Linked DNA regions of Oryzias latipes. The protein of the gene in region 1 interacts with the protein of each later gene in a pairwise test. Links are inferred from orthologs where the notes say so. Each region holds a gene or a part of one and is shown in the gene's direction. Other genes may lie near its edges.

Region 1 (3,990 bases):
TATTTTTTTCATCTGTTTTATTTTCAAAGTTTTAATTTAAACATTCCAGCTAAAAAATGGAAAGGTTTGAAACCATCATTTAAAAAAAACACATTTATTATGAAAAAAAAGCAACATGAAGCAAGGATATGAAAACAACAACCACAAAGCTAGAAAGCTTTGAGAGAGAGAACTTTTAAATTATTCCTTAACAAAATTCCGTTTTTGTCCTAGCAAACCACAGCTTGTTTGTGTTAAACTTTGTCACAAAAATTGGCGAAACGTTACGGGTTCCGTAAGATAATGGCAACTATTTAGAACTATTTTTTAGTCAATCTCATTTATTTAAATGTTAAGCCAGTTTAGTTCATCTTTTGGAGACCGGGGGGGGGCAATTTTACTTCATCTGTGTTGAAGTAACTTGATTGAAAGTAACTTAGAAATCGTGCAATCCGAATTAATAAAACTGTTTATTTTTGTCAAACTTTATACACAATCTATCTCGTTTAATGGTGGTCGTTCTTGTCCATTCCTGCTTTGATATTGTGTTGCAGACCCTGCTAGATCGGCTAGTAAGTCACGTGGGTTTTTGCTGCTTCTATTTGTTTCATTGTGTCCATCATTTGTCCATAAGGTAAAAAGAAGTGTTGGCTGATATGAACATCCCATTTACAATAACTCAAAAAGCCTGAAAGCCCAAATTAAAACAAATAATTTTAAGTTCTAAATGATGAATTCAGAAAACTATACTGCGAACCAAAGCCAAAGAAATCTCTTTATTATTTGAGCTACTTTTCTAAAAGGTTTTTTTTTTGTCAAATTGAAATCCTGTGGTATGTCAGCTGCTTTAAAACAGAGTAAGTGTATTCATTCATTCACTTTTTCAAAAGTTTCATTTTTCTAATCAAATCAAGCTTTACTTATAGCACTTTACAACTCGGGTCACCCAAAGTGCTTTTATTGTTTGGCATTATTTATTACGTTTATCTATATTTTTGAGTTTTCTGCTCCAGCTGTCGAATGTCCGGCTTTCAGTTGTCTTTTTTTTATCATTGCCGTTAAACCAAATAGAGGATATTTAATTGGGGAAGAGAAATGAAAAACAACGATTTGGGTTTAGACCGCCTTTATTTAAACGCTGGCTTTTGTCTGAAGTGACTGGCAAATATGTGCCGACCTTTTTAATGAAACATGCCATCAGGTGGCGCAAAGGGATATAACCAATTCTTATATTAAAATCATCAATTCATTTACATGACCAGAGGGAGGGTCGGGGTAGTAATATCGGGGGAAATGGATCCACTCAACAATATTCTTCTGTTTTTCGGGCTGGGAATCTGCTGGTGAAAGGATCGGACGCGCTGACTGGGAGGAAATTTAACTGTTTAATAAGGCAAACGGACAGACGGTGATTCCACTCAGGGTTTCGGTCCCTGGCTGGTCGTTCTGAACGGCGTATTTCAGCTCGACCTGCGGGAAAAAGATGGAATTTGGAGAAAGAAGGAGAAGGAGGAAGTCGCAAAGCTTCAAACTGGTCGCAGATGAAGGTAAGCTGCTGAATGGATGCAGGAGACGCGTGTCTGGCTGGCTGGCTGTGTGTCTGCTGCTGTGCGCGTAAACAAAAGCGGCGGCCACGGCATGTCTGGGTTTGGAGGGTTCAAATCGTCATCCCCAGCTTCTATGTGGATCGTGACAATGAAGGATGTTCTGATCTGTTGCACATCCAGAACAGGAGCGCAGGATGTTCACCTTTTTTAAAGCTGCAGCCTCTCTCGAAAACTACTTCATACAACCTACAGGTGGTGGTTTCTGCATGAGATGGGAAGGGGGGTGGGGGTGTCTGCTTTTGTTGACAGTCATTGCGGCTTTTTTACACAAGTTTACAGCAACAACCTTTTGTTTTACTTGCAGACCATGATTCTTCACTGAATTCCAGCAGCAAGGATGGCAAAACTAAAGATGCAGTTGTGTCTGATGGTATGTGTCAGATTGAGCATTGATTTGTCACTTTACCATTTCTATACCTGCGCCCACACCCATTTTTCCTCAATGCAGTTTGGCTGGAAGATGAAGGTGTTGAGATCAAGAGGCAAATCACAGGAATGATGAGGCTTCTGAGGGACAAGACTGGCCGAGTGTATCAGCGTGTTGTTGCAGATTGTGACGGCACAACAAATGATTCCCAGGATAAGCATCTGAGTTGGATTCACCAGCCTCCATTCCTGTCTGTGGTACCAGATGACCATCAAGGCAACAGCTGGCTGTCAACCGGACACTCAGAGCTTTCTGTGCCATCCCCATCTATACCTGTCCCCAATGGTCCAAACTATGGCCAGTACAGCACTCGCTCCAGATCCCTCAGGATTTTCAACAAAACCAAGGATGTGAGCAAAACCAATGAACAAAATGGTAAAACAATAAACAATCTGTGAAAAATCTATTAAAATTGACATTAAAGTAGGGTTTTTTTTACATTTAGTAAATCAAAGACAGCAATTCAACCATTTTTTTCCAGTCAGAAAGTCCACTTTGCCAATGTTTGCATGGATCGTATCACTCATTAAAGCACCTCTGCATTTCCAGATGTGGCGCAACCTGCAGTCCAAGAAAGCTCGTGCTGTATGTGTAACTGTACAGGCACTCTAGAGGCTATATTGCAGGAATTGCGTGCCATGAGGAGGCTGATGCAGACTCAGAAAGGTCAGAAAATGTGGCCAAATTGCACTGGGATAAACATAAAGAAGGCATAACAGGTTTTTGTCTTTCATTTATTTAGCATCCTTTGGAAAGCATCAACAAGCAACACCAGTATGCCAACCTCGCTTTAGCCTGGGCTCCACTCCGCGCAGTCTTCACAGAAAAAGAAAGTCTTACTACAGGGTGGCGCCTCTTACTGTCTCCAGCAGTAAAAAAGTTGTTCTTTCTCCTGTGGAAAGTTCAGCGCATCAAGCTGCACCACCAGCAGAATCTGCAAAGAGGGAAAAATGTGAGAAACTGGACTCGTCAGTGCTGAACATGCATCCCATTTCCCCTGATATTTCGGCACAGTCACAACAGAATGATTCAGGAATAGTGAGCAAAATTCATAATCCTACCTTAAGCCAACCAAAAGAAACTCAAGCATCAGAGGTAAAACCTTAATTTGTTTCTCTGTAAAGTTTGTTGCAAAATTTCTTAGAAAGTTTAGACTTTGTTTAGTTTGTTGATTTAAGTTTAATGTTTTGCTAAATTTATCAAAAAACAAAAATGTAAAGTAATTGATATAAATTGTTGAACAGAATAAGAAAGTTGCTTTTTTTAGAACTTTTTACAAGACACACAAGATCTAAAATTTCTGTAAAGACTAAACAGACTCCAAGCAAAATGTCATGAGACTGGCTTCTTTCTGAGTTACACCTGGTGTAAACTTTATCTTTATTGAGCCATGTAAAATGACCTTAATGTATTGTTGTACAATGAAGTCTCAACCTTTTTGACTTCAGTTCTTAAACCCAGTTCTGAATTTCAGTTGTTCATTTCTGTTTAATTTTTGGAACGACTAATTGTTTTGTTCTGTATTCCATCACAGAGTGAGGTCCGTCTTGCAGAGGAATACGACGTGTTTATATCTAAAGCTCAGCTAGATTCCATCTTGGTCAACTACACCCGCTCTGGCAGTCTCCTATTTCGCAAACTGGTATGCATTCAGCTAATTTGGAGCCCTCTTTTTTTTGTGTTATTTTTAGTTTCTATTTTTTAAATGACTATTTCCATTTTTTGATCCCAAAATATCTGGCAATTTTCTGTTGAAAGGCTCACTTTGATCATCTTTTGAGCTGTTTAAAAGCATTCTCAATGGTCTTTTAATTATGATTATGCAGTTTTTAGCCTTAATGCAAAATACCTGCGTTGTTTTCGTGGAAATTATTTTTGCAGAGCGGCAGTAGTTCATTAAAAATGTGCTTCTGAGTTGTGGCTGTGAGAAACCCCGCCCCACTTCCCATCTCCGCTGCTCAAAAGCTTGTGGCCCGC
Region 2 (4,279 bases), on another chromosome or scaffold:
CCATGCCAACAGGCAACTCAGAGGAGAGGTGGATTTCTACTGAACTCCAGCTGCTCTGCAGAAACTATGTCCTAGAAAAAGACAGGATTTTGGGCTAAAAACGGCATCATCATCAGAAACAAACGACCGGGAACAATCTGACAACAGATCAGATGATCAGGAACATGGATGAACCCAAACATGTTCTTCATCCATCAGAACCTGCAGGACAACCCAACAGCTCCTCTGCAGAACCTCCTGTCGTTACTTTGACTGAAGTCACTTTCAGTTAATGAAGGCGTTACAGCTCTGACAGTGTCATATTCAAATGTAATAGATTACTTGTACGAGTAACAATCGATGATAATAATCAGAGATGAGTTCCTTCAGTTCGGGGTTTTTTTGGGGACCAAAAATCGGATCAGAGTCCGAGTCTGACACCGTTTCACCTTCGTCGACCATTCTCCAAACATTTACAGATTTCTTTTGTGACAGATTTTGTCGCCGAACCGGTTTACCGGCGCAGCGGGGAGGCGCGCGGGTGCGAGGCGTGTGTGACCGGTGCGCTCCGGACCCCCGCCGGCGGCCCGCTCACCTCTTTTCCAGGCAGTAATCGGTGACACCACCTCCACCCTCTCTGAAATCAGCTCCGCCAAACTGGACCGGAATAGAACGGCACGGACCGTCACGGCGACAATCATTAGGAGCGTCAAGGGAGCCGCCATCTTCGCGAGGAAGCTCTCTCGCCCTGCGCTCGAGGTGCATGCTGGGAAGTCAAGTTTATTCCGTCTCGTCAGGAAAACATTTACCTCCAACCTCCACAGATTTACAGTCCAAGCAGCGATAAGGAGCGAGTTTAATAATAATAATAATAATAATAATAATAATAATAATAATAATAATAATAATAATAATAAAGGAACATATTTACAAAAAGACTATTTAAAACGCATAATTCAAGCAATTAAAATCAAGATTAGAATTTTGTTTTAATCAAATATTGTATTTAATTTTATGTGTAAAGGTAAATAAACACATTTTAAACAACTTGAAAAGGAGTTTAATCTCAACAGAGGAGTTTTCATATGATCTTGTTGTTAGTTCTAATTTTGCATATGCTGAATATACATAAAGACGCTGTAATTTTAAACAATAATATAGCACATATTACAGGCGTTTTTCTTTAATCACCCCGGAATGCGGAATGTTTTGTCATTTGCGTGTTTTCAGTCGAAAGATTTATGTGACGGATCAAAACAAAACTGCAACTCGCCGTCTAGTTGGAATAAACTATTTTACTGTTTCCGGGGGCGTATTTAAAAATAAAATAAAATTAACGCTTTTGTGGGCCTGTGTTAGCGTCACGTTGAAGTAGATTATCGTTGTTCGTTTTAAAAATATCTGATTACTAAATTGTGACTGTATCACGTCTACAATACTATTTTAGCGTGTCGTATGTGTTTTCTGCAATCCTCTAAAAGCCACGTGCTTTTACTTTGAAAATCCCTGCAGGAAGTCGCTGTGGTTGTTATGGAAGCGACGACTCTGCGATTTTTGTTTTCTGTTCTTGTTCTGTGCTGTTGGTTTGTGAGACAACATGGCAGGCTTGGAGGTGTTGTACACCTGCGTCACAGGTAGCCTGACTTGTCCTCAGGACGCCCTCGTGTGTTTCGTTCACTGGGAAATGATCAAGGGAGGATACCGGTGCATCGGTTCCGGAGACGAGGTGGGTCGAACTAGCTAACTTAAGCAGAACCAGAAGAGACAAACCAACAACACATTCTGGTTTTATTTAAACACATTTAAGATACGAGACGAACCAAGTTAATGCTGTTTGTTTACTTTTAGATCGTAGTTTGTTGACAGCCTCTGAAGTCCCTCTGAGTTACAGTTTTGATTTAAACTCTCAGTCTGTGGGAATAAATGTTAGCTTTGCTACATTAGCAGGAGGATCAGGATGGAAACTGAAACTGTCCTGCAGGCGATTCAGAGGAAACCTCCGCTGAGTTGGTTCTTCTTCCTCCATCTAGGTGACCTTTGACCTCCTAAAGTTCTGCATTGAGTCATGTTTTAGTCCGATTTTTAGTCTCGTGCAGTTGGCACGCGCCATTTGGTCTCATACTAAACAAATGGACTTTCCGCAAAAAGTGTCACGTCATCTTTAGCGCGGGGGGGGGGGCACAGAAGCGTTTGAAAGAGAGGGTGTCTCACCCCCCCCCCCCGCCCCCGTCCCTCCCCCCAGCCCCGCAGCGGTGACCGGAAGTCGGAGCTCCTGCCTGCAGACTGGAGCAGCAACAAGGAGCTGTACAGTCTCCGCTACGAAGGCGCGGACGCAAAGATGCTGCTGAAAGCCGTCCCCGTGGACTCTGCTGTGATATTCAACCTGATGGTAGGCATGGGGGGGGGTCCTTCAGGACATGAGGGGGTGGGCACTCTGCTGGAATGAGGGAGAACGAAGCATTAAATGCAAAAAGTCTGCAGCGAACCTCACATCTGAGACGACAGAGAAACAAATCTGAAATTTAAAAACACAGAGGCCGCTTTTAGGTTTCATGGCAACATTTGGCTCGTTTTAGAACATCAGACGTGTTTTGATGATGTAGGGAGCACACAAAGGCGTTATTTATCATCTCAGAACTGTTGAAAGGTGAAGATTTAGTGGAATAGCTTCAAATTAAAAAAATAGAGAGCAGTCAGAGATTTTAACAAAGGTTTTCTGAATGAAGATCAGATGGCTTTAGGTTTGAACTTTGATGGTTTTCTTTTATTTTGATTTCCCAGCAGAAGTTCTGAAAAGGTCTTCAAAAAGAAACTTAAACTAGAAGGAGCTGCATTTCTAGAAGAAAATGCCGGTTAAATGCTGTACTGCTGAATGAAAATGAAACTTAAAGGGGAATAACGGGCAAAAAATAAAGAAATGATCAAAGTTGACCATAAATAAAGTGAAAACAGCACAATAACAAAAATGTTTGTGAAAAATGCCAGAGCCGGGTATCAAACCAGCGAGCTTCTGCACCAAGGATTCCCCATTTATTTAAATGGAGGCAGAAATCCTGGAATATCTGGAAAAGTTCAAGGATTTGAAGGACCAAAAGTCACAGCTGGAAAAAGCTGAAAGAGCCGAACATTTGAATAGATGGATGGTTGAAATAGATGAGTAACTGTAGAAGATAAGCTGCAAAACATGGCTGAAGATACTAGAATAAAGAGAAACAGGAAAACAATAAATATTTCTGAAGCAGAAACCTGGTGAATATATTATGTGTAGTTGTGCAGTGAGTCGGTACAGCCCTCTGTCTGTTTCTTCAATCTTTATTATGGTGGCATGTTATTTTTCTGTTCCGTTCACGTCCTGCAGACATGTGGACTCGTGTTGTATTGAACATGAGTCCACGCGTCACGAACGTCACAGAAACTCTGAACAATCGTCGTTCAGAAATGCTGACGTCAGATTCCAGCTGAAGGTAACGGCGGTGTGACGGCGTCTGCTTTCTGTGTGTCTGAAGAACTGCAGCACGCAGCAGGTGACCGACCTGACCGTGAACATGAAGGATCACGTGGACGCCGACCATCTGGACACGTTTGACAGGTCGGTGTAAAAAAACGTCCCCCACAGGAATCAGCAGTTCTTCCTGTTTTCAGTCCCTCAGGGTCACAGAGTCACAGGTGAGGAGGGCAGACCATAAGAGCTGCGGGTGCAGAGGTAGCAACCCTGAATCTGGATGAAATGATTGACTGAAGGCTTTTATTCTGAAGGGTTTTCATAAATGGAGACGGTTTGTCAGAGAAGGTGAGGGCTCAGCTGCTGCCCCCCCAGGAGAAGAAAGCAGGGAGGAGGAGTTTGCGGGAGGATGAGGACGAAGCAGGAGGAAGGAGGAGGAGAGAGGAGGACGACCCTCTACGCATTCCCAGCAGACGTCCTGGTCCGGGAACGCAGCATCCATGGTTGGGAAATTCTGGCATTGATTTGATCACAGCGATGGGATAAAGAAGTCTTTATTCTCTCTTTCTAGAATATTTCTATATTCTGAAAGTTAAAAGAAATGACGTTAAAGTAAAAATCAGGAATAAATTCCTGTTATTTTCTCACAGAACTGAATGAGTTGTTAGATCCGTCTGAACTTTAAAGGATAAAAGCAGAAACAAGTCTATCTAAAGATGAGCTTTTATTTTGAAAGGTTTATTCTGTCAGGAAGGAAACAGTCATCACGGATGCTGTGCTGCTCCTGATGAAGGTGAGGTGATTCTTCATCATTTGATGAACGCTTTGTTTTTCAGGCGTGAGCCTGCAGTTCCGCCT
Region 3 (4,079 bases), on another chromosome or scaffold:
AGTTGTTGTGGGAAATGCCTCACTTTTACAAACTCAACAGCTCGTGGGGAGAAGTCACAGGCGTAAACAAATATGTTGAGGTCGTCCTCCAGCAAAGGAAAGAGGCAGTTTCCCACGCCGCAGCCAGCTTCCAACAAAACCAACTTCTGGGACTCAAACTGTGAAGCAAAGCACAAGAATAACTGGACATTAGTTTAATAAGCTTGTTTGGCCATCTGACCTACAATATTTTTCAGCATCTTAAACTTTAAAGAAGCATAAATAGAGTATAGTTTAATATTTTAATATTACATTTAAGTAATTAATGTGAATATATTATTCATATTAATATATTTTAATTTATTAATTAATATATGATTTAGGGTTTTAAAAAATGGCGTAATTACTAGATAATTTAACATTTATAAATAATCTGAAGAAGAAGAAAGAAATCCCTATTTGATAGATAGAATGTTCTACATGTTAAATAGAAGATTATTTATTTTGTGAGTATAAAACAAGAAATAGAAACAGATGAAGACTGGTAAGTCCATGTATAAAAGTAATCTTACCTCACGACACTCTTTGAGTTCTTCAAATTCCCTGGTTGTCCAGTGTCTGTCTTTGAAGAAATTTGTGGCGTTTCTTTTGTAAAACAAGTCCCAGTTTTTTCGAGCTTCTTTCTCCAGTTTTATTTGTTTGAACTCAGATACAAGAACTCGCTCAGTTTTGAATCTACCCTGCTCCTCCTGGGTTAAATCTCTGGAGGAAGATGTTTTCGTTTGTCCGGACAGGCATGTTGGTGTGTCGTCCGTAGACTCGGTATCTTCGGCTCGGTTCATCATATTTCCACGCTGCTTTAAAGTTTTTGGAGATTTTTTTCCGTCTTTCTTTGTACAAAGTCATTAATTTACGACATTTTCAGTTGTTATTCCTGAACATTTATGCAGTTTATTACGTTTTCAATAAAACAATATAAAATAAAAGGTTGAATAAGCTAAATCTACAATAAAAAACCCTACTTCAATTTCAAACAATTCTTTTCATTTCCTCTGTTGTGTACGTTCACGAAATCCTTCCGATGAGTGCACGTAATTGCATTCCGCGTTGCCATCTGGCTTTTTATATAAATTGTTTATGAAACTAAAATGTACTAAAATAATTCTGTTTGATAAAAAACTAATCTAAATGCAAATTATCATTTAATAAGACAACCAAGTTTTATCACAGTTTTTGCCGCCGTCTGATCTTAGAGGTAGTTCATAGTCGAACCAAAATCAAAAGAGAGCACAGTGACGTCAGGGATGTTTTGCTAACTGTTAGCTTCTGCAGCTAGTTTTATCTTCCAGTTGGATTATCCTGTTTCTTCCCAGTTGCGACTGTTAGCTCACTTCTTATTACCAATATACGTAAATGTTAGACTTTTAGACAAACTGAACCATGAACGGTAGTACAAACCCGCTGCTGGACAAAGAGGAGCATGTTTTGAAGCTCGGAGAAAGCTTTGAGAAGAGGCCAAAATCTTCCTTTCACACCATCCGATGTGAGCGTGAGACCGCGTTGTGTTTACAAGACCTTTAAGTTCTTAACAAACTCTGGAGTGCGGCTGGTTATCTGCTGTAAATGTAGAGGCTCTCTCTCCAAGACTCTCTTCAATACTTTTCAGTCATTTGAAGATAAAAGCAGTTTGTTTTTTTGGTTGAGCTTTTACACTTTATGCTATTAACTACCCAATACTTATTTTACTACACCAAAGTTTATCTAATTTTTTGTGAGAAACAAGTTTTTTATATTTGCCTCCAACCAGGACTCATTTTTTAGCCTCCAGCTCCACATGGAGTGGCAATTGAAATTCTCCTTCAAAATAAAATGCAGATCCTATCTGTTGTAATAAACACAATCTGGATTGTTGGGGCATAAATGCTGAATAAAACAACTGGATGCAGGGACAACGGTTTATAGTCTTCATCGTGTTTCTTGTTCAGTGTGGTATTTAGAGATATCCAGTTTTTCTCAGAGGATTCGTGTTGCTTTATTGAAGTAGATGTTTGAAGTAGATGTTTCACAATATAGGATTTATTATTGATACCAAAACACTTTTATTGTGACGCCTAGGCTTGGAATTGCATTTTATTTACACTAAAAAGCTTTTCTGTTTACTTTTATTAAAAAAATTCATACTGTTATTCACTCAGGTTCAATCATATTGTTTCCATGACCAGTTATGTGAAGACAGTTTGAAAAATGTAAACAAAAATTAAAATAGAAATGCAAAAAAAAGAAACGATTCAATTGCTTTGAGTCAAAGCCTGTGTTGTATTTTGAACTTGTGTGTCAAAATAGACTTTGGCTGGACTTGGGAGAGAAACCATCCGTGTTACAGAGCTGTTGTAGTAAAAGGGTTTTATGATGCATGTGATGTCCTATTTTAAACACTGACCTCCCCGCGTCACAGTATTCCATTTACTCATTAGTTCACTTTTAGATCTCAGTAAAAGTCACCTTGGGGCATTCTCCGGAGAAAGTGGTCATGTTAAATTCAAACTTTGAATGCAATTGATTTATAGTGTTATAAAACATATTCAATTTGTTTTGTACAGAACAAAAAATTATCTGTATTAAATTAGCATTTTATCTCATTTATTATAGTTGATAGAATTACAAATGCAGCCAGGGAAAACAACCCACATTATTTTTTTCATCTTATGCTAGTATGAAATTACTGTAATTGCTTTTTTGTATTTTGGTTGTTTTTCCCTTCCAGGTAGTTATTCTCCAACTGTAATTATAATTCCATATATGTGTGAATGCCAGTTCACGGTGTTTCCCTCTAAATAAAAAAATAGGCAATCAGGGAGAACACAAATTTGACTCGATACATTTCATTTCCAGATGACTTCAAACCAGCATCGATTGACACCAGCTGTGAAGGGAAGCTACAGGTCGGAAAAGGAGATGAAGTTACAATAACGTTACCTCATATTCCAGTAAGGCTTTCCTCTTTTTAACAATCTGGTCAGAGATGCATGCACATCATGATCTGCCTGATCTCTGCTGACTCATGTTTTCTGTCACAAAAAGGTCTGACAGCTGTTTTGATCAGTCACAGTGCAGTCAAAAAATCTAAGCAATCATGTGTCTAAAAAAATTATGTTCTGAATGTATCCTAGAATTGTGACTGAAAAAGTCTGTTTATCTTCACTATAACACTGCTCTTGAACAAGATGATGTAGTTTTTTTGATTTTGATGTAACCTTCTAAAAGGGCCCTTTTCCAAGCTTTAAATACATAAAACTGCAACTACCTGTTCTTTGTCTTTCAGGGCTCCACACCTCCAATGACAGTATTTAAAGGAAACAAGCGACCGTATCAAAAGGATTGCGTGCTCATCATTAATCATGACACGGGCGAATTTGTACTGGAGAAGCTCAGCAGCAGCATCCAGGTTAAGAAAACAAGGTGGGATGTCAGTGTCCTGGTTTCCAGAGTCCTGCTGACTTTGGGTAGTAGATGTGTATTGTCTATAAGATCTTTAAATTGCTCAAGATGAGGAAAAGTTGGCTGATGTATGTATCTGTGCGAACAGAGCGGAGGGCAGCAGTAAGATCCAGGCTCGGATTGAGCAGCAGTCGGTTCGTTCCAGCCAGCCCGGCTCTCAGTTCCGAGCCCCAACCAAGCCGGGAACTGGGATCAAAACATCCCCATCCCCATCTAAGGACAACCCCTCTCCAGAGCCTCAGCTGGACGACATTAAGAGAGGTGAGGAGGTTCCTGCACTGTTGGTGTTTTACAAAGTCATGATTTCTCAGAAAAAACCCTGCTAAAGATGACAAAGAATGAAAAACATTTGGACAAATGTGAGTACAAAAAAAGACAAGACCTTGAAATATGAAATGCTGATCTTGCTGCTGTCGACAGAGCTGCGGGCAGAGGTGGAGATGATTGAACAGATGAGCAGCAGCGGCAGCAGCAGCTCCTCAGACTCAGCCAGCTCCTCGGGGAGCGGCGACGACAGCAGCAGCAGCGACGGCGAGGGCGATGCTCCCCGGCCGCTCAGCCAGAACTCCCCCAGCCGCAACCCCATGGCCAACGGAGGGATG
Region 4 (4,047 bases), on another chromosome or scaffold:
TGACTGAGCCCAAAGCTTGAAGCCTCTTCAGCTTAACTGGAAGTTCTTTGAAGTATTATTGTGTTCCTGAAAGACTAGTACTTTGGTTTTACTGGGGTCTACACAATACTACACACCTGAAATGCAATTTTGACTGCTGTAATGATGAATTATGGGCAAAAACTAAATAAAGAGATTGGAACCATTAATTCTCTTGTGTATGGAAGTTTTTTTCTGGAGCATAATTAAAAATAAAATTCAATACCAGAAATGCATACATGTGTTCACTCCATTATTTAATAAATTGTTATGTAGCTCTTTGACCTTTTTGTGCCTCTGGATATTGAGGTGGTTTTAACTATGACTTTGGTAAACTATTGTAGGGATTTCAGTGATTTCCTATATTAAACCCTTGTGCTATTCTATGACCCCAGTTTTACTTTGATGTGTTCTCCCTACTATGACAAAAGTGGATGAAGGTGAAGAGGATTTCTTGTAATCCATGGACACCAGTGAAGATCACAAATCATTGAAGAAAAAAGGTTCAGAGAAGTGTCTAGTGGGTCTAGATGACCCAACTCCCAACGTTAAAGTGCCTAGCATAGCACAAGGGTTACATGGTACTTGATAAACTTTAGCATAAGTCTTTCCACACTTTAAGGGGAATCCTGGACTAAATCAACAATCCAGTTGGAGAGTATCTGCAATGGGAATGATTCCATATACACACATATATATATCTATATAGATATATATATGTGTGTATATGGAATCATTCCCATTGCAGATAGATATAGATATAGATATAGATATATCTATATAGATATATAGATATATATATATATAAAAGGCGAAAACCTCAGTTTTATATATATATAGAGAGAGAGGGAGAGTGTTTACGCTTTTTCAGTCTACAATGGTGAATTTTTACCTAGAAAAGACATTAATTTGGCACATCTGAATTTGTCATGTTGGTGATCTTGAACGTTACTCATGGCCTAAAAACTACATTTCCTACAGGTCATGGCAAGACTTCAGGAAGTAATCATTGGTGTTTCAGAAGAAACATGTTTGAACAAAACCAAAAAAAAAAGTTTAAAAAAATGTTGGTGACATTTGTGATATGTGGAGGATTATACTCATTCTTATTTACAAGAAACAAGCATTAATGGGGTTTTATCATTCCTTTTAAAGGCACTACTATTTAAAGTGAACAAAACAGGTTCTTTTATTTTGAACACACAAACAGTGATACCGGAAGTGTTTGGTTACTTCCACCGTGTTTTTACTAACAACCGCACGCGACTCTAAACGGCTAAAACTTCTGTTCAAGTCCTAATATTTCTGCTCCGTTTTTATTCAGTTTTTCTTTTGCCGGTTCAAATCCTACTTTGAAAGAATATTATCTATTTTCCAAGGTAAATAAACCGACGAACGAAAAAAAGTTACGGTCTAATGTTTGCTTACACAGCTAAGTCGTTAGCATTATTGATTTAAATTTCGAATGTCAATATATATATTGTATATATAGCTTAAAGGAAAAACAAATATTTGGTAACTTGCACAATGATAATAATAATGCTTTTCCCCTTACCAATTATGTAAGTTTCGTCCTTATGGGTTGGAAATGGGTTTTGAGATATTTCTGTCCGTGCTAGTGCTAGCTTTGCTAATTTTTGGTGGACATTTGATTTGACATGCGCACAACGATCCCCCTCACCTCGGAAAGTATTAACTCTTTTGTATTTAAATGAAGCAAACTTTATTTTAACCTCAGACTATACATCGTGTCGCATACAAAAAAAACAAAAAGCATCTTAACTTGAACTTTGAATACTAAAAATTCAATTTTTAAGTTTTTTTTGTCTTTTCTTTGTGTTAGCTGGCGACCAAAGCACCACTTGACTGTCTATAATGTCCCAGGCCACCAAACGCAAACATGTTGTCAAGGAAGTTCTTGGAGATTTTGTCACACCGACAGAAAACCAGCAGATTGTAAAGGTGAACTCAGTGTTTTGCAGAATACTGTCCTAATAATTAAAGATCAACAGGAATGTAAAAAAATGTTAACAATCTTACAAAAACTTCCTCCTTCCCTTTTTTCATCCACTGCACATCCTCAGGTTGTTGGAAGTCGAGGCAACAATCTGCACGAAGCAGTCACGGCTCAGGGGGAGACTTTCCTGGTGAGCATGCCCACCAAGTTCCGGAAAAACATCTGGATCAAGAGAGGTACGGGATTATAAAACGGTTACTATTCCTGATGTTTATAGATGTACATGCCTGAAACTGCTCTAAAAAAGGTTTTGGGAGAGAAAGACGTGTTTGGTTTGACTTAAGGCTGAAAGACAAGCAACTACACATTGTCGATTTACTGTATACATTTAGGAGGGGCTGTTGGAGAGCAAACCAACCTCATAACATGGAAGTCTTGGATTCAATTCCCTGGTTTTAAGACCTATTGTCTGTTGAGGCAACACCATTCGAACATTAGAACTGTGCATAAAACTGATTGGATTTCAGGCTAGAAGGAAGATATGCCAATGCAAGAACATTTTCAGATTTATAAAAACGATGTTCAGGTATTTCAAACCTAAATATCTGGACATCATTTTGGTTTAAGGGGGGTTTGTGCACATCAACTATCAGCACATTTTTGGAAACACTCTTGTCTGGAATTGTTCCACTTGCATTTAACTTTTAGATTTTCTAATAAAGCTTTTTAAATTATGATCACAAATTAATTTTGCCTACATTTTTTATTTTTTTTATTTTTATTTATTCAGCAAACTGTATTCATGTAAAAATTACAGTACAACAGTTTTTCCTCATCTAAAAAAACTACATATTTTAGCCACAACTCTTAAAAGTATATTATAACCTTTAAATCTAAATTAATTTAATTTCTTGTTTAATTTAGACGAACAGGTAATGAAATTCTGAAGTTAGATCAGCAAAAACTGGTCATAGAAATCAATTATTCTGTCATTTTTATAAATACGTTTTCTTGGGGTTTGTGTTTTTGGCTCGACTTTCAGGCGATTTCGTGATTGTGGATCCCATCGAGGAGGGAGAGAAGGTGAAGGCGGAGATCAGCTTCATCCTCTACAAAGATCACATTCAGAACCTTCAGAAACAGCAGCTTTGGTGAGTTTGAAGACACAAGGACGTGTGCGTCGCTTCGGGCTCTCATGCTTCTCTCTGCTCCCCTCCAGGCCTGAGGGCTTCACGGAGAAGCTGCCACACAATAACGAAAACACGCGTCAGGAGGACGCGGAGACAAAACATGAGGAAGAGGAAGGATGCAGCTCCGAGGAGGACGACAGCGACCTTTTTGTAAACACAAACCGATGTAACTACCAGTACAGCGAGAGCGAGGAGGACGACACTGATGAAGAGGACAAACCAGTGACTGAAAATGGTTCTTAGCTGCAGCGATGAAGGTCGATGGAGAACTGATAATTACCACAGACTGACTGAATCTAGGAAGATTTCAAATGTTGGCTTCTGTGCAGCAGCTCCCCCTGCTGGTCAGATTGTTGGCGAGTTGATCTCATTCAGTGAACTTTATGAAACCTTATGTATGGTTTCCACATGAAGCGGTCTCTATGTGATCATAGAAACTCAGCAAGAATCCAGATGAGATAATTTCAGCTGTTTTCCTCACATTCCTGCTTTTCTTCTTCAGCAAATCTCCTATGGAGCCATGTTTCTATGACAAACAGGAAATCTTTGCTGACGGTTCTCGTATTTTCTCTAATGGAATCAAATAAATGCTATTTGTTAAAAAATTATGTTTAATCATTGGATTGGATTTGTTATGTTTGATTTTGGTTGCGTTCTGATTATTTAATGAGAAGCCATAAACAGTATTAGACAGTTGGACTGAGTAACTCTTCCTCCCTCGCGTTCCAAACAGGAAGTACCTGCTGGCACCGAGAAGCCAATTTTTAGGACATAAAAAATATGACTCATGACATTTGTAATTATTCTTCAACAGCTAAGCTGTTGGTGTCATTCTTTAAAAATGTCAGGCTTCCTTATTGAGTGACATTTATAGACTGAAGA
Region 5 (3,984 bases), on another chromosome or scaffold:
GTGAAGGAATGCATTTCCACGGGTGGGGGGCAAGGTTTGAGGAAAGCATTACACAAATTCTGAACGTTTGGAACTTGTAAGTTCTGTGCTATGTCTAGAAGTGCCTGTACATTCTCTTGGTTAATGTCCAGGTGGGATGTATACATGTAGTCCAATATTTGGCCAATGCCACTGACATCTTGGATAACCAAGTTAAAGACGTCATTCTTCTGACTGGGAGAATTTTGGAACAAAGACCTGAAAAACAAATGTAAAAAATGGTCATATCTCTTAGGGTTCACAGCAACACCTCATGTGGATATTCTGTTGTCAAATAAATGCATAAAAGTACCTAAAGTAGGAACTAAAAGCAGCCAGAACGTTTTTGTGAGCTTTAAAACAGACTCCTTTAACCACCAGCATGCAGTCACAAAGCAGCCCTTGGATTCTTTGCTCCTGGAGCTGCTGTAGGAGGTAGGAGCTGTGGCTGGACAGGGTCTCCATTTATGATCACTCAGCTTCCCCCCTTTTCAAAGCGAAACACACAAAAATCACATTTAAAACAACAACAACAGCCTGAGTTTACACGACTCAAAAGTAAAAGTTGATTACGAGTCAAAAGTAAAAGTTGATTAAAGGGTTGAACTCTAGTAGTGAGCCACACACCGCAGTCCATGTATAAATATATATATATATTTTTTCAAAAATAACTGTCATGTAGCTCAAGAATCGCTACAAGACCGTCCATGCAAAAATTTGACCTGCTACTAAGCTAACAGCGTGGCTATTCGAGCCATTTACAATGACAACTAATAAATAAACAGCTGACCTGTCTTAATTATAAAGGTGTTTATTTATATATATTATTTTACTATTGTCGATATCCATTCAGAGGGGTCCCAAAATCATTGTGAAGTGTTTCGTCTTTTATTGGGATGACGGGTCACTCGCGCTTAATAACATTACGTAACTTCCTGGTACAACGCTTATTTTGTACCCCTCGTGGGAAAGAAATACATCTTATACTAAACCCCCAAACAGTGGGACTATATACATTTCTAAAGTGCTGTTGAAATCGTAAATATACCTCTTTGTAGTATAATTATTTTGTGTTATGAAATGTAAAAAAAGGTTTTCAGGAAGAAAAAAAAAGGTCTGCGGAACTGGTGTCTAGTTAAAATTTCTATACGGAGAATCAAGACTGTAGCTTCAAGGAATGTAATCACGTGTCTGTTCAAAAGTTTAGACGGGAGAAACTCAACCCGCACGTTTACGCTCAAATTAAAATTTTAAAGAGGTTAATTTAACGGGCTCTAATTTTTGGGTATTTTTAAAGACAATGAAGGTTTTGTTCTTTGTCATGCGTTTTTTATAACTTACTAGAAAAAACGTTAGCTTGCCGTAGGCAGGTCTCTAGTCAGTGCATTAATTGATGGTGTTTAAAGTGGTTTAACTTTCTGTCGTTTTGCTGGTTTAATCTACATATTGTCTTTATTAATTTAGAGAAAGGTTGCTTCTGTGGATAAAATTGATCAAAATGGTGTTCTTCACCTGCAATGCGTGTGGCGAGTCTCTGAAAAAAGCCCAGGTCGATAAACACGTGAACATCTGCCGTGGGTGTCAGGTGTTGTCCTGCATTGACTGCGGAAAAGATTTCTGGTAAGACCAATTGGGTTATTTCTAAACATTACAAAATATCGTCGGGAACAAGTTTGTTTTTCCTCCAACCGGTGCCATGGTACTAGGCTGCAGGTTACCGTAGTGCCCTGTAGGCTTACTTGATTTGTTTCTTTCTCTAAACTGATTTTGATTGCCTTGGGCTTCTTTTGCGTTGTCACGTGCCTGCTAGCCCTAATTTGACTATTTCCCACCACTTCTGGGTCTGAAGTGGGATACGGGTGCATCGATCAGCTGTTGTTGCTTGGCAACAACAAAATTCCACCAGAGAAGTGACCGGAGATCGAAGGAGAGGCTGAGGAGACTGGGGTCTCTTCAGAGTTTACAGGACTCTTAAGATTTTTTTTTATTGTGGCGAAGTCCTGGGGCGGTGGCGGATGCACTAACTGACATAGGAAGAGGATCAACAAACTGGTATGGAGATACGACTCCATTCTGGATGTCCCTTATAGAGTCTGTGACTGTGGAGGGTCACAGGACGATGTTACAGAAACTGAAATGCATCATGGACAATCCTCTTCATCATCATCCTCAGCATGAAACCATGGACTTCAACACCTTGTCACAGAATTTTCTTTCTGTTAGCTACTAGACTCTACAACACCTCATAGACACTGGATGTTGGAGCCAAATTCACAGTTTATATTTAATAGTTATTTTTGGAGCCAAATGCACTGTTTTGATTTAATAGTTAATTTAAATAATTATTGTTTGAACTTCCAATTAAAAACCCTACGTCACAGAGATGCTGTTAGTGAGACTCATTGTTGATTGAAGCCGGAGAAAGTTGGAAGCGATATCGTTTTTTGACTAAATTGTAGTGGCACTCTCTCTGCGTGTCTCACTCGCGTTTCAAATAACAGTTGCCGGACAGACGTCAAACGGTGGAACAAGAGAAAGACACAGAGAGAGTGCCACTACACTGGGGAATAATCACTGTTCTTCATTTTTAAGTGTATTTTTTAGTATTAGTTATTATCTATCTGCTGTTTTTTAATAGAGCTATGGTAACACGGAAATTTCCTTTTTGTGGGATCAATAAAGATTTATTCTCTTATACTCTATTCTAACGCATAATGAGCTCTGTGACTGACCAAGTAACGCATTCAATGTGACTCTTTTCTGCGTATTACCTAGGGACGACGACTATAAAAATCACACTAAGTGTATCAGTGAAGACCAGAAGTATGGGGGGAAAGGCTTCGAGGCCAAGGCAAACAAAGGCGATGTCAAACAACAGCAGTGGTTACAGGTAAACATCTTCCCAAGTTCGATTATATGTGAACATTTGTTTTTCTTTTGGATCCTGACTTGTGTCTTTTCCTGAAGAGAATCCATGAAGCCCTGAACAAATCAAGCATCAGTCCCAAGCTGAGAGATGTGCTCAGGCAAGTCAGTGCATACGACAATGTCCCCAGGAAGAAAGCCAAGTTTCAGGTTGGTGTTACCAAAACTTGTAAGAAGGGTTTAGGCTTTTACCAGGAAGATTATTAAAATGTGTATTTACTTATTACTGTTAATGTTTTTTCTTCTTTCAGAACTGGATGAAAAACAGTCTAAAAATATCCAACACAAGCCTACACGAGGAAGTGTGGAACATAATTGCTGCTGCCGTCGATGTAAGTAGCTGTTTTGTTTGTTAAAGTAAATATTACACTAAATTATTAGCTGGGGAGCCTAAGCTTTAATGGAAATCAATGGAAAATAATATTAATGTGATATTTAAGGGCTGGAAATGTATTAAGTGTTGTGTAATACCGTTCATTCTTTCACTGTACTGTTGTTTTGCTTATCTGTAATCTTTTGCACCCCAGGTTCCAGAAGATACACAGCAGCACATGGAGAAAGAAGCTGAAGTCCAAGCAAACACTAATGGAACTCAAACTCCGTTTGGCCACGAAGATGTGAAGAAAAACAAAAAGATGAACAAAAGAGAACGCAAAGAGGCCCGGCAGCAGAACAACGGAAAAGCTCCAAAACTATATGACGAACAAGTCACACAAGAGCAGAAAGAAAGCCAAACAGGGAAAAGGAAAAAGGATGGAAAAAGAAAACACAAAGAAGCAGAAGATGAAGAGCAAAACTGTGATGAAAATGAGATATCTGCCAAGAAAAGGAGTAAATAACATTTTTTTTTCTTATTACAACACTTTTTTGTTTGTTTGATAAAAAGGATGGTTTTTGTGTTTAAGGCCTGTGTTCCTGTTTTCTTTCAACCTTTTTTCCAGTTAAGGTTGCAGCAGAGGCTAATGATGCTGAGATGTCAAATGAGGCTGAAGATCAAGCTGTTCCTCTGGGTAAGTTAACTCTAGACTGACTTAACCCAGT

Evidence for each region.
Region 2: the proteins of bend7 (region 1) and psmf1 interact in a two-hybrid assay, tested with the Homo sapiens proteins (2 studies listed by BioGRID and IntAct). The two-hybrid records come from large-scale screens. The link is inferred for Oryzias latipes from reciprocal best matches to the Homo sapiens genes BEND7 and PSMF1.
Region 3: the proteins of bend7 (region 1) and eaf1 interact in binary tests that used the Homo sapiens proteins (3 or more experiments, as listed by UniProt). The two-hybrid records come from large-scale screens. The link is inferred for Oryzias latipes from reciprocal best matches to the Homo sapiens genes BEND7 and EAF1.
Region 4: the proteins of bend7 (region 1) and eif1ad interact in binary tests that used the Homo sapiens proteins (3 or more experiments, as listed by UniProt). The two-hybrid records come from large-scale screens. The link is inferred for Oryzias latipes from reciprocal best matches to the Homo sapiens genes BEND7 and EIF1AD.
Region 5: the proteins of bend7 (region 1) and lyar interact in binary tests that used the Homo sapiens proteins (3 or more experiments, as listed by UniProt). The two-hybrid records come from large-scale screens. The link is inferred for Oryzias latipes from reciprocal best matches to the Homo sapiens genes BEND7 and LYAR.

What each region holds. Positions count from the first base shown.
Region 1 is NC_019864.2:20,635,892-20,639,881, reverse strand, and holds the start of bend7 (BEN domain-containing protein 7), read left to right. Parts: upstream 1-1,189; 5' UTR 1,190-1,462; coding exon 1,463-1,526; intron 1,527-1,890; coding exon 1,891-1,956; intron 1,957-2,034; coding exon 2,035-2,388; intron 2,389-2,562; coding exon 2,563-2,679; intron 2,680-2,755; coding exon 2,756-3,108; intron 3,109-3,547; coding exon 3,548-3,655; intron 3,656-3,990.
Region 2 is NC_019863.2:32,757,108-32,761,386, forward strand, and holds the start of psmf1 (proteasome inhibitor PI31 subunit), read left to right. Parts: upstream 1-1,471; 5' UTR 1,472-1,576; coding exon 1,577-1,705; intron 1,706-2,221; coding exon 2,222-2,368; intron 2,369-3,485; coding exon 3,486-3,568; intron 3,569-3,735; coding exon 3,736-3,924; intron 3,925-4,257; coding exon 4,258-4,279. Other genes in the region: pigu (phosphatidylinositol glycan anchor biosynthesis class U protein), read right to left, coding at 575-704. UniProt on the Homo sapiens protein: Plays an important role in control of proteasome function. Inhibits the hydrolysis of protein and peptide substrates by the 20S proteasome. Also inhibits the activation of the proteasome by the proteasome regulatory proteins PA700 and PA28.
Region 3 is NC_019874.2:26,172,719-26,176,797, reverse strand, and holds the start of eaf1 (ELL-associated factor 1), read left to right. Parts: upstream 1-1,273; 5' UTR 1,274-1,419; coding exon 1,420-1,522; intron 1,523-2,871; coding exon 2,872-2,966; intron 2,967-3,301; coding exon 3,302-3,438; intron 3,439-3,565; coding exon 3,566-3,738; intron 3,739-3,897; coding exon 3,898-4,079. Other genes in the region: mettl6 (methyltransferase-like protein 6), read right to left, coding at 24-158, 552-824. UniProt on the Homo sapiens protein: Acts as a transcriptional transactivator of ELL and ELL2 elongation activities.
Region 4 is NC_019868.2:26,091,215-26,095,261, forward strand, and holds eif1ad (probable RNA-binding protein EIF1AD), read left to right. Parts: upstream 1-1,236; 5' UTR 1,237-1,397; intron 1,398-1,861; 5' UTR 1,862-1,893; coding exon 1,894-1,980; intron 1,981-2,102; coding exon 2,103-2,211; intron 2,212-3,017; coding exon 3,018-3,126; intron 3,127-3,194; coding exon 3,195-3,408; 3' UTR 3,409-3,773; downstream 3,774-4,047.
Region 5 is NC_019863.2:16,779,149-16,783,132, forward strand, and holds the start of lyar (cell growth-regulating nucleolar protein), read left to right. Parts: upstream 1-1,178; 5' UTR 1,179-1,516; coding exon 1,517-1,638; intron 1,639-2,793; coding exon 2,794-2,908; intron 2,909-2,985; coding exon 2,986-3,093; intron 3,094-3,194; coding exon 3,195-3,275; intron 3,276-3,470; coding exon 3,471-3,774; intron 3,775-3,884; coding exon 3,885-3,953; intron 3,954-3,984. Other genes in the region: zbtb49 (zinc finger and BTB domain-containing protein 49), read right to left, coding at 1-237, 332-483. UniProt on the Homo sapiens protein: Plays a role in the maintenance of the appropriate processing of 47S/45S pre-rRNA to 32S/30S pre-rRNAs and their subsequent processing to produce 18S and 28S rRNAs. Also acts at the level of transcription regulation.